Arabidopsis thaliana: one gene and its partner. The protein of the gene in region 1 interacts with the protein of each later gene in a pairwise test. Each region holds a gene or a part of one and is shown on either strand. Other genes may lie near its edges.

Region 1 (8,209 bases):
TCAGATGCAACAAATAAATACTTATGGCTCTCAGAAGCGTGGAGTTCAAGAGAAAACATATCATCCTTCTCATGGTAAAGGCATACATCACTGCTCTGCTCTGTCCCTAATTTATGTAACCAAACCTGTTACAAAGAATATATGAAGATCAGAACATGAAAGCCAAAAATATTGACGTATCTCATAATAAGTACAGTCAAATTTGGTAAGAAAATATGGCATCTATGAGGTGTATAATGTCAACAATTGATCGAAACGGTAAAATCTATATTCATGCAAAAGTTAATCCCTTCCTCCAGTACTATACACTAAGACAGTAGGGTGGGAAAAGATTGAAGGTAAACCTTATCAGGTCGCAGGATTTCGTCCATTGTTATGTAGAGCAAAGCATCATTACCAGCCCATTCAAGATAAGAAGTAAGTCCTTTAAGCTGTTGCCCCACTGGTTTTAGGGCTTCAGAGTCGATGACATTCACTGTATATATCTCATCACCTTTTGTGTCCTCTGCATATGCCACCAATTTATGATCGGGACTCGCCTATAAAAAGAATCAAGAAAATGAAACATCAAGTTAGTAAAGAGCAAGTTTGAAAAGGATATCTCTTAGGACGATTTTTAAAGTCTATTTTCTAGTCAAACCTTGAAGGCCCCAATTCTGTAGTAGTCATGCTCTTGAGCCTTGGTATTCTCATCCAATATCACATGCTCAGGAGGAGCATCTGGACCAGTTGGCATAGTATCATAGACAGAAGGCTCAGCTTTGTTGTCAGTGATCAAACGTCTACAGTGCTGAATATATTCCTTTCCTTGAAGATTTTTCTCATAATAATAGTAAGGACCCTTGCGTAGAGGTGCAGATATATCATCTTCTTTGATCCTCCCTCTTATTTCAGCAAACAGCTGATTCTCAAATTGCTTGGTCCCTGAATTTTTATTTTCCAGTCTAATTTATCACAAGCTTGCATAATCAACAAGTCACTAATACTCCAAATTGAAAACAAGGAAAGCTAAAAACCCTAATCCCCTAAGTATCACAACGTCACTGACAGAGGCAACTTGAAAAGACTCACCAGACATGACGAAATCAGTGTAGTGATTTTCTTCACGAAGATAAGAAAGCATGTCGGGATTGGTGCGAGAATCGTCACGGAGCCAGTAGTAATTGTCAACCCTAACGTCACCGAACATCTCCATCACATGCTCCACCTTCTTCGCTACAGGAGGGGATCTCGATTCCGCCATGTCTCTCGGTGATGTCAACCGCACTGACGCAGCTCCGGTTTCAGAGGAAGAGGAAAAAGAAGAAGACAGCCGTAGAATAGAGCGGCGGCGAGGAACAAGAGGAACGAGGCAAGAGAGAGGAGTATCGAAGTGGAGAAGACGACTACGAGTCGCGAGAAAGTGAGTGCCGAGAGATACGAGTCCACGCCTTATTATCATATTACGTGTCCGTTTTAGTTGCCTAGAGACTCGCGACCAGTTTGTTAATAGAGGACAGGTCATATCCGGTTTGGATAAACCGGCCTATCTATGATTCCGGTTACAAAATTATTAACTCTTTCGTGAATTTTTGCTAGGATTATTGAACAAAACCAAATAATTAGATTAGAAACAAATTACTGTTGAATGTTGATTAATGGTCTTCTATGTTCTTGTAGTGGACTATTTTTGAGCTTGATGAATTTTATAAGCCTGAGATTAACCCAGAACCTAATCAAACCGTGCTAAACTGCAAATAAGCTGAGATGATAAAAATTGGTCTTGCTTACAGAACAAAGATGAAACAAAACAAGAAAGAAAGCACGTATAATAATAACATCCAGAAGAGGTTCAGGTTAAAGTGCATCAAAACCACTAAAATTACCAAAGTGACATTCACTTTCACAAGAAAATGTTTCCAAAATGGAAAAAGGAAAAAAAAAACAATGGAAGTGTAAACAACATCAGAAGATATACCTTGAAAGAACATAAGCCAATGGCAATCATGATAATGGCTAACTTGATAAGAGCAATACGAGACTAATAATGATGTAGGATCATCATCATGAATCACAGGAAATAAGGAACACCTGTCCTTGGCCCTCTCATTTGATTGTTCTCTTCTGTCTCCGTGAAGAACTTCACTTCCCTTTCCTGGTAATTAAGCATATTTTAACAAATCATTACTGTCAGTGAGGACCAGATCCTAAACACTTCCCAGAAACAGGTCTATATATGAAAAGTAACACACAGAGCACAATCAATATGGACAGACTGATTCCACGCGAACTGTGAATTGTTACTAAATAAATGGCTTAAACATCATAACTCTATCTCACAAGAGTCACTCATGTGTATATGTTTGGGTCGAGAGACAAGTATCAAAGGCAGTAACTTATTTAATCAAAAAGGAAAAGTAGAATCCGAAGACGAGTGCATAAAAGTAAGAAGAACATGAAACAAGATATTGTGGCAGATCAGTAACAAAAGAGAAAACAAATGCCTCACCATGTTGTCATTGAAACTCAATATAGAAGCCACATTCCCACAACGGTAGCAGTAATTAGGCGCAGACCACACCTTTACAAAAAAAATAAAGAGAAGAAACATCACCAAGCAGATTATACTTCCAACTATCCAAAATGATCATAAGGAAGCAAGGCACTTACAGTTACAAGACCTTTATCTTGGAACATGTACTTGAGACCTTCTTGTACAAGCTGGTGAGCGCGACATACTAGATCAAGATTGTTAATATGGTTAAACTGCACAAGAAGCAAAACCACAGATCAGGGAACTGAAATACATTTATTTCTTTTCACACCTTATTCAAATTTCAACCCCAGAAAAAAATATAAATACCTCAGTGGTAACCCTGGACCCGAAAAGCCAACCAGCTCCACGTGGACTGACAGCCCATGTTTCAATATCTTCAGGATCACTCCACATAAGATCACAGAAGGGTCCTTCATGCGGTATTTCGCAATTCCGCTCAATCAATCTTATCTAGAGAACAAAATAACATCTAAATGAGTAAATGAGATTTAATCTAATCATAAATAACACTTGCATGGTGAAAACCAAAAGTAATTTAAAATAGCACATTTTAACCTGGTCAATTGTCCGTACATCAGGTGAAAGGCCACCATGAACACATAGAACCTACATTGAGGATGCAATACGTTTTAATATGGTATACAGCTAACTTATGCATTCATAAAATTATACAAGAACACATCATAACACAATGCCAAAGAAGCTGAGAAATACTTACAGTGCCATCTATAATAGCTGAAAGTGTAAGATAGTCAAAAACATCCGTGCAATATCTCCAAGCATTAGCATTACCATACTTCCTTTGGCATTCGTCATAGAAACCATACACCTAGCAAATATAAAATTGGTACGACAATTTAAGAAAACTATAAAAATGAACCTGCAGGGCACAAAATATCACTACAATCTTCGTCCTTGACAGTGGATGTTAAAAGATATAGGATATGGTGTAGGATAGAGATAAATCAAGAGCTTCCGAGAAGAAAACTTATGGTTGCAAAGGGTTCACATAAAATGCATCTTAGTTAACATCTATGCCTATATCTAGCATGGCATTGCCACATGTACAAAATAAACTTTCAAAACTAGTTATAACAATTGAGCGAAAATTACTTCTCAACCAGTAACTGCGTGAAGAGCACAGCAAGTCAGCAACAATAGATATAAATGGATTAGAATAATGCATACCTGAGTTAGCTGTCTACTTTCATGATTTCCACGCAAAAGAGTGATATTGGCTGGATGTCTACATATTGAAATACAAGGAAACGAGTGATTTTAAGCTCACAGCAAAGTAAGTTAGAATATAAATTTCCTGGAATACAAGTTAAATCGATTTTCCAGTAGAGCAATGCGTTTACAGCTTAAAGAGCATTCTCAAGAGAACTATGATATACAGTGTGAAACGGAAGGATGACGATCCATGACATATATAACGCACAATTTCTACGGAAAATCTTACCTTGCTTTAAGAAGCAAAAGAATGGTGAAAACTTCAAGACTGTTGTAACCTCTATCAACGAAATCCCCCTGAGAAAATCCCCCACAGATAATTAAACTATGTGTTACATATTGATATGTCATACGAGCCTACGCCCAAAGTCAGAGTCTATACCATAAATATGTAATTGGTCTCGGGAACATGACCTCCGGTCTGGAAAAGTTTCATAAGATCATGAAACTGGCCATGGATATCACCACAGACGGTGACAGGACTGTTGACAGGTTGTACATTTGATTCCTCAATAAGAATTTCTTTCACCTATATAATAGTCAAAATATCTTGTGAATTACCAGAGTATCTTAGCAAATCATTGTCATGAAAAAAGAAGAAGACGGCTGCTACTACAAGTTTCAACACTAAAATTACTATAATAAATCCTCAAATAACAGTTTGCAAGCGTGGACTTGGTGCATCCATAAATTGGCTAAAGAAGAGCTAAACTTATCCCTAATTCCTTAGAATTTAGAATTGAAATAGCAAAGTCAATAAATCCTCTATTGGAAAAATGAGAGAAAAACCCTAAAATCCGTAGACCAAAATGGCAAAGGAAACAGTAAGGGAGAGAGACCAGATTCAAAGTAAAGTGCCACAAAGCAAGCTCTAAAGTCTCAAAAGAGTAAGCGAAGAATTGGGTTTTTGTAGATGCATGAATATTCGGGGAAGAGAAAGCAAGCAAGAGAAGAAAGAAGAAAGAAGAAGAAGGCGTACGTATTCGCAGAGAAGTTGAAGCTCGTCCTCAGAGAGATGTTGGCCGTCTTTAACCTTGGAAATCCATTGATCTAAATCCATGGCGGCCTTTTATTATCCTCTCTGTCTCTCTCTTTCGGTGGTGAAGTGGAAATTGGTGCTGTTTCTTCGATTTCAATGGTGAGTCTCGACGATCTCTGGTGAAGAATTGAAAGAAAGATAGATCTAGCAGAGCATTGCTCCGTCCGCTTAGGGTTACGTAAGGGGGAAAGAGGGAGAGAGAGAGAAAGGGGAAACACAACGAACCAAACAATCTCGACCCGAACCCGATTTGGTCTTCCTCCATCCCCAAACTCTATTCGTTGGATATTTATTTTTAATCATTTTTTTGGCAACATATTAAACATCAATTTAATTTTTATCTATTACTTCATTACACAAATCTTTAATGGAGTATACTACACATTTTCAATGTTTTTGCAATTCTTTTCTTGGTAATTTTATTTGTCTACTTGAATGTGACAATTGATAACACCTAAATAAAATTCCACAAATACTTAAACCTTCTTTATAGTATTTTTTCTTCTTTTTAATTTTTTTAAAAAAACACATTTCGATATATGTGTTGTTGAATTTGAGTAAGACCTTTTTGATAATTAAAAACTCCTAAAAAAAATTATTTAAAAGTCTTGTTAAACAAATTGTGTCTAAAGACACATTTCGAAATCTATGTGATGTTGAACTTTTGAGGAAGGTTGTTTGTGGGAGACCGTACGGGATATGTTAGAAATGAATCAATGATCTTGGATAGGCATTAGCAATACGATCGTTCAAGAGCGAACCTCACTCGATTCATTTCAATGTTTATGTTTGGGTCTTCCCATTTGGCTTCTGGTTAGGGATAATTTGAGAAGGAAAAGTATTGTTATGATGACCTCTAAAAATGACAAAATGGAATTTGTCTCACCAAAAAATCTCCAATGTTCAAATTACATCCGAAAAAATCACTAGTCGGAGGGCCAAATATTACGGAAAGTATATATTGGTGTTGGTTTGGTTTATACTTGGTCGAGAGGTGATCCGAAACTTAGTTCCACTTAAAAAAGTGATGCATCGCAAAGGTAATTCGAAATTTAAATTGTGAAGAGTTTACTCAGCTGCAAGAATAGAAATGATTTTTCTCAGACATGTTCATTTCGGGTTTGGGCTGGATTGAGTTTTTTTTTAACCCACGACAACATTCCAAGAAAGATCACTTGTTGAAGAGGGATTCCACCAACTGACCATCTGATACAAGTGCATGATTTATCATATGTAATTTTATCCATCAAATTATCTAAATTTTTGTAGAGTCTAAGTCGAGATATCACTGAAATCGGCCAAAAAAACTAGTAGTTAAATAGTTTTTAAAATACACATTGTCCAAACACGATAAAGATTTTTTAAACTCAAAACAATCTTGTATAAAATCTATACAATTTTTTTTTCCCTTTCTAACTCCATATGTTTACAAACAAACAAACTTGTAAGGAAATTTATATTATTATCATAGTTTACCACCTTGTAGTTATTTCTCGCTATGTCCATTTTAATTAGCTTGATAAAAAACTTAACTATTTAAGAAATATAAATATTGATTTGTTTTTGCAACGACTATTTATATTCAAATACAGCAATGGTTCACTGGACTTTGGAATCCTTGACAAATAGATATACTGTATAATATAAAAATTATTTACTGAATTTGCCAATAGATTTGGGTGGCAAATGAAAAACATGACTCTTTCAGTCCCAAGGAGCCTTCTCACTTCTAGCAGCAAAGCCAAAAACCGTAGTTACATCAAACGTGTAGAAAAGGAGACGTGCGTCTCAAGAAAAGGAAGTAACCATTAATACCTAGTACTCCTCAACCTCCCCCACCAATTCATCTTCACCTTCTCCGCTGAACCACCTGTTTCTTCACTCCCAAGTTTGCTAAGTATCAGTTTCGTTTCCCTTAGTCTCCCTCCATAATCTTTCTTCCATGTCTCAAACATCTGTTTCAGCCTTCGTAGCTCCCGGTCCGGATTCAAGTTTGCTTCCACCTGACCAGATTTCACTTCCATCAAGAACTTTCTGTCGTCACCAAATACCTGAGCTCTTTGTCCAAATTCCTCAGCTAACCGGCTTATCACGCTTAAACCCACGCCTACACTTCTTGACCTGCCATGGCCCATTTGGTAATGACTACCTCCTGAATCTAAATCTGTTGCATCGCTTGCATTCACCGATGCATCCGAGTTTCTCGCTGAGTCCTCAACCTCTAGGCTTTTCTTTGCGATGGAAAGACTGGATTGCAAAGATTTCATCTGCTTTTGCCAAATTTCTTCCATGGATTTCATCTTTGTTTCATATTCAGACCACCGGTTATCGTACTGCTGGACTCTTTGTCGGAGGATGTCGTTCTCCTCTTCTTTCTCACGAAGAGCAGCTTCGGTTCTAAGAACCCTACGCTGAAGATCGGAAAGATATGATGCCTTCACTAGCACCTCGTCTGACTCATTTCTCTACATAAAGAATTGGTTTAAGAGTCTAGCAATATGCATATATATCATGTAGTCAAATGCACGAAGAGAATGAAAGCTTTGAGAGGACCTTGGTGCCACCAGAACTAAGCCATCCAATATCCCCCGCACATCTTCTAACCAGCTCTCCACGAATTGCTACAGAAAAAGGTTTCAGCATTTCTTGAAACTTCTATTTTTTAAAAATATATTTTGAGGTTTAATTTGTTTCAATCATGAGAATTAATCAACCCTATTTTACCTGATTGTATTACAGCAGATGCATCAACTGTGGCTTTATACTGTTGGCTAGCAATCCTTCTCTTAACATGGCTTTGTATAGCAGCAGAAGCTCGATGCCTCTGCAGTAACTCCGTGTATTCCTTTCTCATCTTTTCTCCACGAACAACTGAAACAGAAGGATGTGTGAGGTATGGTTTCTAACGACATAACAAATACAAACCAAGATATTGAAATGAGACAAGGGGCAATACATGATTGAAGAATAGTAATTCCGGTTTTAAGCTCTTTTAGACGACAGCGAGCTTGGTGCCCTCTAAAATAACTTTGAAGACGTAAAATGCCATGCAGAGTGCGATTCCTTGTATCTTCAAGAACCCCAATCTGCAATGGTGAAGCAAGTATACTGCAGTAAGAATGTCTAATTTGTGGCCCCTAAAGTCAAGACATCAGACGACTAGTTATAGTACCTGGCCAGTTCTGAAAAACAATTTTGTGTAGCCAACTTGGTACATCTCTGGCAAGATATTAAACTGATGGAGAATTGCAACCGAAACACTTAGAGGATCTTTTGCTGCAATGTTCTCCAGCAGAAGGAAACCATACCTAAAGTATGACAAAAGAAAAACAGCATGACCATTCAACATTATTGCAACTAAAAAGTATGGGAAGCCTATTATAAGAGGACATGCAATACAA
Region 2 (9,275 bases), on another chromosome or scaffold:
GAGAAAACTGGACTGCTTTGGCGTATGTGATTCAGATTCGTTTGTTTTCAGTCACACTCATTCATATAGCTGTATCAACATCTCTCAATACCATCTCTTCATTTTTATTTTTTAATTCAGGTTGATGTGGAAAACGACGCCAATCACTCTGTTGTTTCTTGTATCGATGATTCCGTTCTTGGATCCGCCCGGTGCTCTATCGTTCAATTGGAGCTTAACCAACACATCTGCCATTCTTGTTTCTGCTCTTCTCGGATTCTTTCTTCAATGGTCAGGAGCCTTAGCTCTAGGGTGAGTAAAAGTTTCTTATACATTAGTGTTGTCGTTACATTTTGGATTTAAAGGTTGCGTAGCTGAGTGGTTCCTTAAGTCCAAATTTTGCTCCATATATTGCAGAGCAACTTCTGCAATTACGCATGTGGTGCTAGGACAGTTCAAGACTTGTGTCCTCCTCCTTGGAAACTACTACATTTTCGGGTCGAATAGTGGTTTCATTAGCGTTGGCGGTGCGTTTGTGGCGATTATGGGAACTTCGTTATATACATACCTTAACACGAGAGGTCAATCTCTTAAAACTTCGTCTTCTTCTTCTGCTCTCTCGGAGAAGAAGTCAAGATTCAGTGATCTTAAGGATGATGACAAGAATCTTGAACCTTACGGCTCCGAAGCTGTCTAGTCTAGGCTAACTTTTGTATTATATAGTTTTGATTATTCCACATTACATTAGATTCTAATTCCAACTTTTTGTTTTTGTCGATGATTCTTGTTTCCATTTTTCTAATTTCATCTCTGAAAATAAACAACTTTTCTTTTGACAACAACTCTTTCAATTCATTTTTTTGTTTTTGTTTTCTTTTGTCTTGTCATCAAATGTTCTTGTATCTTTTATTTTCTGTCAATTTTGGGAGGTGTATATGTGCTGAATATCTTGAAATTTAATGAAACTGTTTTTTTTGTCATCTGAAAAAGGATGAAATTTATATGAAACTGTTTAGAAAACAACTTATAATAATTAACATAAACTATAAGAAGAGCAAAAAAATTAACAATCTTAAAAATGATTTTAGACCAAAACAAAACCAAAATGTCATGAAATGATTTAGGCCTTATGGGCTGAATTTGTTAAATGGGCCGGTTTTAGTCTTACGTATTGAGGATTTGTATCATTTTGCTTTTAATTAGTAATTGATGATTTGATCCAATATGGAACAAAAAAGAAGCTCATAACGCTGATTCATTTTCGATCGCTTTTAGTAAGAGACTGATAATTTTTGGCATTAGCAAAAATGATAAAATTCTAAGGTATTTATGCAAGTTTGTTTATAAACATGTGCTATAATGTACTTGAAACAATATGAACATTAATTTGTTATACAAGATAAGATTCACGATGAGACATTATAATAGTAAGGTGCCTAGAGAGACAAGAGCTGTCACTGAGCAAATGTTGTCTCCTACTCAATGCACAAAACCTTCTGAAAACATCAAAACGTATAAATACTTTTACCCTTAGTATACATATGCTATTTCTCTTACGCACTTCATTGAATAATAAATATTTTTACGTGTAAACTATTAAAAGATCTATTGTCAGATAAGTCAGAGGTCAGGACAACTATATAGAGAAGAATTGTTATTGAATTTCTCATGTGTTGTTGTTCGTTCAATTACGTTCCGACCAAAGAGCGAGTTCCAACGTATATCTCATCGTTTTGATACCCCACGTGATCGTTTTCACGTTACACAGTCAACGCCTCCAGAGCCAAGCCATCTTTTCTAGTACATTACATTTACATACTTAAATTCAAGCGCCGATCACCGATACGTTTTGAGGAGCTCATAATTAATCAAACGCAAGGAAAAAGAAGAAAAATAATTTCTATTTCATAAAAACTTTGGACAGTTTGGTTGAAAAGTTTGATCACTCGTTAAGATATTCACACATGTTAGATATGCACAATTTGTCTATAACGCAAAACTTATCATCAGCAACTATCTTACTACACAATCAATTGTCTAGACTAGTGCTTTCATTTGAAATGTTTCTTTCTCCACGCAAATTCTTTGTATCACTCCAAAAATAGTCCGAGTGATATCTTATTGGTGACAGATAAGTATATACTAAAATAAAGGAAAATTAAATTCTATTATAAGTTTGATTGTTCTTTACTCATCGAATTAAAATGCGACTACCTTCAAGCTTCAACCGAATATTACGTTCATAATTTTTTAACAAAAAAAATAACGTTCATAATTAACTTTACATACAAACAAAAACATAAATATATAAGACAAAAGAAATGAAATAAAAAGGTTATATGTGGAAGTATTAGTGCATTTGATCCAAAACAAAATAAAGAATTGTATGGAGATTTAGAAAAGCACAAGATCTAATCTAAACAGACTGCGCGATCTAGTAATACTTGACTAGTATATGATGAAATATTAGTGTAATTTAATAACATGCTTCACGACCATCGATAAATAGAAAAAACTAATCAATAGTAAATAATTGTACTTGCACATCCCAAAAATTTAATAAATGTAACAAAAACTACAAAGTCACGTACATGCATGTGCATATAATTAATTATACAAAGTTATCTAAATTTTCGACTATCATATGCTATAATTTAATTAATGCGACATTGCATGGTCCCATACACCTAAGCCTGACCTGGAATTAGTCTTTTTTCGTTCTTGTAATTATTCTTTTTCGTTTGAAAAAAAATCACCTTTGGGTCGTATCGCCTTTTATTTGCAAATACGTTTTGATAATAACTTAAAGCCCCAAAAGAACGTAGTAGAGTACTGTTACAGGCAAAGCAACCAGCATTCCGAATATAACCCTGAAAAATAATATCAAGTTTTTAGCTTAGGAGATCTCTGTAACTTTGTATAGTTTGAATACCAAATTAATATCTTATATATAGTATTAAAATGAAGTTTAAGAATGAAAATTAAATATTTTATAACTTAAATAACTTACGCAGTGCTGAGAATATCAGGATGGACGTTATATTCTTTGGCGAAAACAAAAGGAACGATTCCTTGAGGAAGAGCAGCCTTCAAAACATACAATTATATATATTCTTATCAATTATATTTTTCAAAGAAACCCAACATCACTAGCTAAAACATCAAACTGTAAGTTAGATTGAAATATATATAAGACTAAAGAGTAATCACCTGAACGATGGCGATATGGAGGAGATCACCTCGAATACCAATTGCTATTGAGGTGGCTGCGATCACGGCTGGTCCAGTCAAGAACCTTACGGCCATCGCAAACCCTGCTACTGATTTTCCGCACGCAATAATCTTTGGTTGCAATGCCATAAATAGACCTATATGTATCAATAATTAGCAAAAAAAAAAGCACCAAAGACTATAACTAAATATATATATGAAGGGAACTATACCAAGACTAAACATAGCCATTCCAAGACCAGCATCAGATAATATCGAAATCGATCCACTCATTATCGTTGGCATCTTTATATTCCACCTGTCCCATAAAATGATCAACAACATCAAGCAATTGCCCAAATATATTGTTATGTTATATGATTGTGACATTATTATTAGTACTTACTTGAAAGAGACAAGGGACCAAGCAAGGCCAAAGAGACTAGAGTAAGTGTTAGGGTTTCGAATGAGTTTTCTCCAAACCATTATCAGAATTAGTCTCGTCATCACACTCGCCGGCGGCATCTGCTGTTTCCTAGGACCGGGACCGCCGTCTTCCACGTCGCTACCTTTTTTGCCCATGTAAGGTGACTTTCCCCCGTTATTACCGTCTTGGTCCATTTCCACATGCCCTTTTCTTCCCGGTGACATGTTCTCTATCAGATTCTGCATCGCTGTCATCACCAAGTATGAATATAATTATAATTAAATATCACAGAAAATACTAAACTAAATTTATTATGACCTTTCTTCGACCAAAAAACTAACTTATAGAAAGCCGTACGGAACCAAATAAAAATCTACTTTAATTAGTTTAAAAGTTTTCATAAGTTTTGAAACTTTGAAAAAACTATAAAAAAAACTTAGAACCGATATTGAGCTTTATACATTTTTCCTAAAAGTTAAAAAAAAAATAGAAGCGTGGCAAGTAATGATAAAAAAAAATATGAAATAAGTTGGAGATTAATAAACCTTTAGTAGCGAGGTTGTCGTGAGGAGGAATAGAAACTTTAGGGTCGGTGGATACATCGGTGGAAGAACCTCTGGTCATAGCATTCTTCGCGTTGGCTTCCGACACCGGAGAAGCACTCGAACTCCACACGAACATGTTCATCTCCTTGTTTTGTCCTCCTACTCCTACTCCGCCACCGCTTCCTCCGCCACCACTTTCCTTTTTCTTGACTCCACTTGCTCCACTCGTTGACCCCGTGAACATTGGGTTCGGCGGTGGGTACGACGGAACTGACCATAAATTATAGAAAATTTTATTTTAAAACATTACATTATAATGAAAAAATCACATTTAAATTTCAAAATACAAAATTAATATTTTGTTTTCCAAAACTATAATCAGTTTAAAAACCTAAGAGTTTTGGAAGTGATATACTAAATTATTATTATTTTGTTAAAAGAAAAAAATAATTACGCAAAATTATTTGATGAACTCTTTACTTAACTTTTAAACCTTTTTAAACCTAATAATATCCCACTTATAATCACCGGTGACTGATGGAAAATAATAATAATATCTGAATCGATTCTTATATCTATTTAAATTTATAAAGAAGCAAAATATATTTTTTTAAAAAAATAAATAAAAAATAAATATATATATATATATATATTAAAAAATTCATACCACTATTATTGTTGTATAATTCCCCACTCATACTTCTGCCTCCTCTTCCTGCTTTCTTCGCCGTCTTCATAACTTCCTCATCAAAATTTGACGTTCTCGGCGTCACGCCTTTAGAAGACTGAAGTGAGTAAACATCTCCACCTGGACCAGCTCCAGCGCCGCCGTAGCTATTAGTGTAACCGTGACGAGGGCTTGGAGCTTTGCTTGCGTTAAACATTGCGTAGAAATCTGTCTGATTAAAGCTAGAAGCTCTCGGCGTCGGCTCTCGTGACGATTGAACGGAGTAAATCTCTACGCCGGTGAGATTTGAAGCTCGCGGCGTTATCATGGAGGAGTTAAGTCCTCCGCCGTGAGATTTGTTGAATGAAGAGATCATTGATGAGGCGGCACTTGATCTTCGAACCACCACGTGTAGCTTTCCGTCGTCTCCTATCTCCGCATCGGTCTAATGAAAGATAAATCCATATTTTTAGGTGATGAATTTCGAGTCGATGTGATTTAAACCGGATATAACCGAATCGGTACAAAAAGAATGAAAATTCAACTAGACTATAGTTAATAACTTGATATTTCTTATATTGTACTAATTATTAAATTCTGCGTGAATAATGTAACACGTCACTTTGAAGATTATTTTTGACTTCTGAAAAAGGAACTCAGACAAAACTCAAAATTTGTTATAGATTTACATAGGCAAAAAGGAATCCCAAAATGACATGTAGTCATGTCGTAACTAGTAACTACCCATTTTCTAGTTTACTTGAGTTAACCGGTCCGTTAATTTGAACAAACATATGAAAAAGGTCATCAGTGAAAAATTCATACCTGGAGGGGTTCACGGCCATTAAGAGAGATAACATCAGAGTCAACTCTGAAGGAAGTAATTGAACCAGCCGTCTCCGGGAACTGCTCGGAGATGAGAAGCTTAGCCCCACGGAACTCAAACAAGAAGAGCATTAATGTATACCATATGATGCTCTGAAGCACCACGATCTGCACCATTAGGTTACCGGAGAAGTCTCCGTACATCGCCCTAAGCAATGGGATTCCCATTACCAACGTGTTAGGCAGTGTTGATAGTGAAAAGAGCGTTATCATCCATTCTAGGCTTCCTCTGCGGCTAAACGCCTAAAAAATAATATCACAATATATACACAAACATGAGAATGTGTGTGTTTAGAGACACATATTACAAAAGAGCTAAAATGTTAACTAAAATATTTACCCGTGTTAAATGACATAGTTACTATACTATAAGCTTTCGATAACCAATATGTTTTCGAGTAAAAATTGACCATCATAGCAATTACTAGTAGACTACCATCACTTAATGAAGATAGATTATGTGCATAGAGAGATTATTGAAAGAGACGGGCCTGCCAAAGAAAGAGTGCGGCGAGGATAACGACTTTCTGAAGAGAATCAGCAGCGAGGAAGTGGTAATTCATTGCATAAGGATCATTGGAGGAGATGAAATGGAAAGAGAGAAGAGGAACCGCGAAAACCGCAACGAACCGGTTTATACCGGAACATTGGTCCGGTGTGAATATCCCCCACCACCGTACCGAACCATAGGCTAATATCATAGCAACGTATAGCGGCACCATAGCCGCTAAAACATCGTACATGTCTTTGCCGGTGATCATTTTGATTTACTTTTTCCGGCGAGAGAGAGAAGAAGAAGAAAAATAGAGATATAGATGAGTATATGTGGTGTGAAATAACGTATTTATGGACAAGGAAGTGAAGTTCCTTGAGACGATATTTAATTAATGTTGTTTGTGTTAAAATAATGGGATTCGTGTTCAAACATTGAATTATAGCTAAGCTTAGCTAGAGAGGATCGTTGGACATTTGAATATCAAATAAACAAAATATAAACCAAAATGCCTTTTTTCTTCCTCGGCATTTTGTGAATGGACAAATACTAATACAGTAATAATTTCAGTCTGAATCTTCTTTGGTCCATAATTTTTCGAAGTGCTCTAGATTTTTTCTTTTTTTCCGTTGATACTAGATATTCCTTCTATCTTTATTACTTCTGCAAAAAGCCGTTATATTTAATTTGAAGAATCTTATCTTGGGATAAGGAAGATTGGTTTACCTTCTGTCTCGTGGTCTAACATTATTTGTAAGTAAAATTAAATGCTTCAGAGATTATAAATTATAATTACACAAATGTTAGATTCAAAATATCTGTAGAGTCAGATACTTGGATCCACTTGTACGTGTAATACAAATTTGTAAATTTAGATTAGATTTTATATTAATAAGAAAACAAATTTGTAAATTTAGATTAGGTTTTATATTAATAAGAAAACAAAAACGATTTTTGTGTAAGCTATTGAGACGGCGAAGGTTGATGGACATGCACATGGTTTTTGCGAGCATCTTACTACACTTTCTGAGCGATCTGCGGTTCCCTGTAAACATCTGATTTTTAATCAGGAAAAATACAATTGTAATTAACTTATCTTTTAATCTTGAAACGGTGTATTTTTGTTTTTAAACGAAAATCTCTTAATGATTTATTATTAACTACAGTCAAAGACATTGGCAATTGGACCGATGAATAATTAGCCTCTCTTCCATATTTAATTGTCGTGTTTTCTTCATATTGCAATTGTTAACGTATTTATCACGCCACGTGATTGGGCGTTTGGGCCTAATGGACCTATGGATCTAACGATGGAGATACTAACTAGATTATCACTAAAATCTCTTTTGAAGTTCCAATATGTATCGAAGACATGGTTTTCCACAATCCGTAGCAAAGACTCCATCAATTCGTTGGTCTCTATGTCATCTACACGATCATCGCGATTTCTTATATCTCTTTAAAAAAAACGGTGAATTGACCAACAAGAAACCTAAAAAGAGTTTGTTCTTCTTTACATCTTCACAAGAGGAAGAAGAATAAAAGCCTTTAATAAGTGATCTCAGTTTTAAACTTTATCCATGTTTTTTTGTTAACTCATGAATTGAAAGAGAACAACCAAAGTGAATGTAGCCTGATAAAACAGGATGAAACTATTGAAAGATTCAAACTTTGTTTACAGAATCATCCTTCTTGGCCACTTCACTACTTTCCAACGGTGGTAAACTCTGCACAAAAGTAAAAAGCAATCAGATTACAAATCTCTCATGGGCAATTCATCGAACACCTTATGTGCATTACAATAAAAGAGAGATCACAGAGCCAGAGAACGAAATGAATGGTTTTAAACCGATCACGCTTATGGGCATTATCAAGAACGAAGAAAGTGAGCAAACCTAATACATTTGAGAACCCTAACATATGTACAGAAAGAGAAGGTGAAGCTTACGAGATCTGGTTTGTAGATGTTGTGGACAACGGAGGCTCCGGCGAGAAGGGAAGCAACGACGACGAGTGTTGACATTGCCAGAGACGGAGTTCCCGTCGGCAACTTTCCTTTATACGGTTTCTTCATCTTTGGCTCTGCTTTTTGACTGAGCGCGCGATATGAAGAGAAATTTGAAAAGCTTTTCGAAATTTTGAACCATCATCAACAAGTTTGCTTTTATAGCAAGTCGGCTTTTTATGATTTGAACGCGCAGCTCTCGCGCGTGAGTAACACGTCACCTCCCTGCCTGAATCTCATTATCTAAGGCCAAAGTTTTGAATTATATAATAAGGTCAAGCTACTCTAAAGAATTATGGAAATATCAAAACACTTTTTTGAGGATCGTTTATAAGCTTCAAGACCATCACTTGACAATCATGAGAGTTCAATACCTCAAACCTCATCAGATATGTCACATCATTCGGTACTGGTAATGATATCCTTGCAAAACATGAATTCAGTTGACATATCATATACATATTACTAGTAAGCTATAAGAATCTCACTCAACACACAAATGAATTTATTCTTAGAGATACATACGACAACCAGTCATTATGACAATCATCAACCAACTTGAAGAAGAATTGCTTGTAAGGGAGAGGGAAAGGTCACAAGAGGTAGGCCCAACAAAACTCAGAGCCCACAACTATATTTTCATATCAATGGGCCATACATTGTACATACATCAATGCGTACCAACCAAAATATAAAACATTCAACACCGAAGTTATTGAGTTTTCATCTGACACTCCAAAGTTCAAACCGAATAATCAAAACACACCAAAGCAAAATCCCTCAACCGGTTAAACCCAAAAAACTAACCAGCCAGTTTGAAACCATTTACCACTAATAACTATACCAATAATGCCAATATTACCCGTAACTTTTGAACTCGAGTCCTTGCTGCACATTGCTTAAAATCACAACGAATTTCGCCAATCAAATATAAAATATCTCCAACAATTTTTACCGACTTCCCTTGAAGATGTTTCTCGTATGAGATCCTTGTGCATTGCACAGCCTTGCAGGGCATAAGAGGTTGAAACCTACGCCGTTTTCGTAATGGGCCTAATAATAGG

Evidence for each region. The genes of interacting proteins can lie anywhere in the genome.
Region 2: the proteins of FYPP1 (region 1) and EIR1 interact in a protein complementation assay, tested with the Arabidopsis thaliana proteins (one study listed by BioGRID).

What each region holds. Positions count from the first base shown.
Region 1 is NC_003070.9:18,655,514-18,663,722, reverse strand, and holds FYPP1 (Calcineurin-like metallo-phosphoesterase superfamily protein), read right to left. Parts: upstream 5,216-8,209; 5' UTR 4,830-5,215; coding exon 4,749-4,829; intron 4,299-4,748; coding exon 4,152-4,298; intron 4,067-4,151; coding exon 3,999-4,066; intron 3,783-3,998; coding exon 3,725-3,782; intron 3,366-3,724; coding exon 3,255-3,365; intron 3,143-3,254; coding exon 3,092-3,142; intron 2,987-3,091; coding exon 2,843-2,986; intron 2,746-2,842; coding exon 2,650-2,745; intron 2,561-2,649; coding exon 2,489-2,560; intron 2,135-2,488; coding exon 2,051-2,134; 3' UTR 1,671-2,050; downstream 1-1,670. Other genes in the region: AT1G50380 (Prolyl oligopeptidase family protein), read right to left, coding at 1-125, 345-539, 641-924, 1,072-1,441; VIIIA (P-loop containing nucleoside triphosphate hydrolases superfamily protein), read right to left, coding at 6,617-7,273, 7,362-7,429, 7,533-7,679, 7,765-7,894, 7,981-8,116. UniProt on the Arabidopsis thaliana protein: Catalytic subunit of protein phosphatase 6 (PP6). Dephosphorylates phosphorylated phytochromes, with a preference toward Pfr forms.
Region 2 is NC_003076.8:23,097,964-23,107,238, reverse strand, and holds EIR1 (Auxin efflux carrier family protein), read right to left. Parts: upstream 6,724-9,275; 5' UTR 6,475-6,723; coding exon 6,205-6,474; exon of another isoform or gene 6,054-6,204; intron 5,957-6,053; coding exon 5,654-5,956; intron 5,274-5,653; coding exon 4,829-5,273; intron 4,432-4,828; coding exon 4,162-4,431; intron 3,864-4,161; coding exon 3,596-3,863; intron 3,509-3,595; coding exon 3,423-3,508; intron 3,348-3,422; coding exon 3,190-3,347; intron 3,067-3,189; coding exon 2,990-3,066; intron 2,850-2,989; coding exon 2,783-2,849; 3' UTR 2,011-2,782; downstream 1-2,010. Other genes in the region: AT5G57100 (Nucleotide/sugar transporter family protein), read left to right, coding at 1-22, 121-291, 397-676; AT5G57080 (uncharacterized protein), read right to left, coding at 7,871-7,933, 8,155-8,280. UniProt on the Arabidopsis thaliana protein: Acts as a component of the auxin efflux carrier. Seems to be involved in the root-specific auxin transport, and mediates the root gravitropism. Its particular localization suggests a role in the translocation of auxin towards the elongation zone.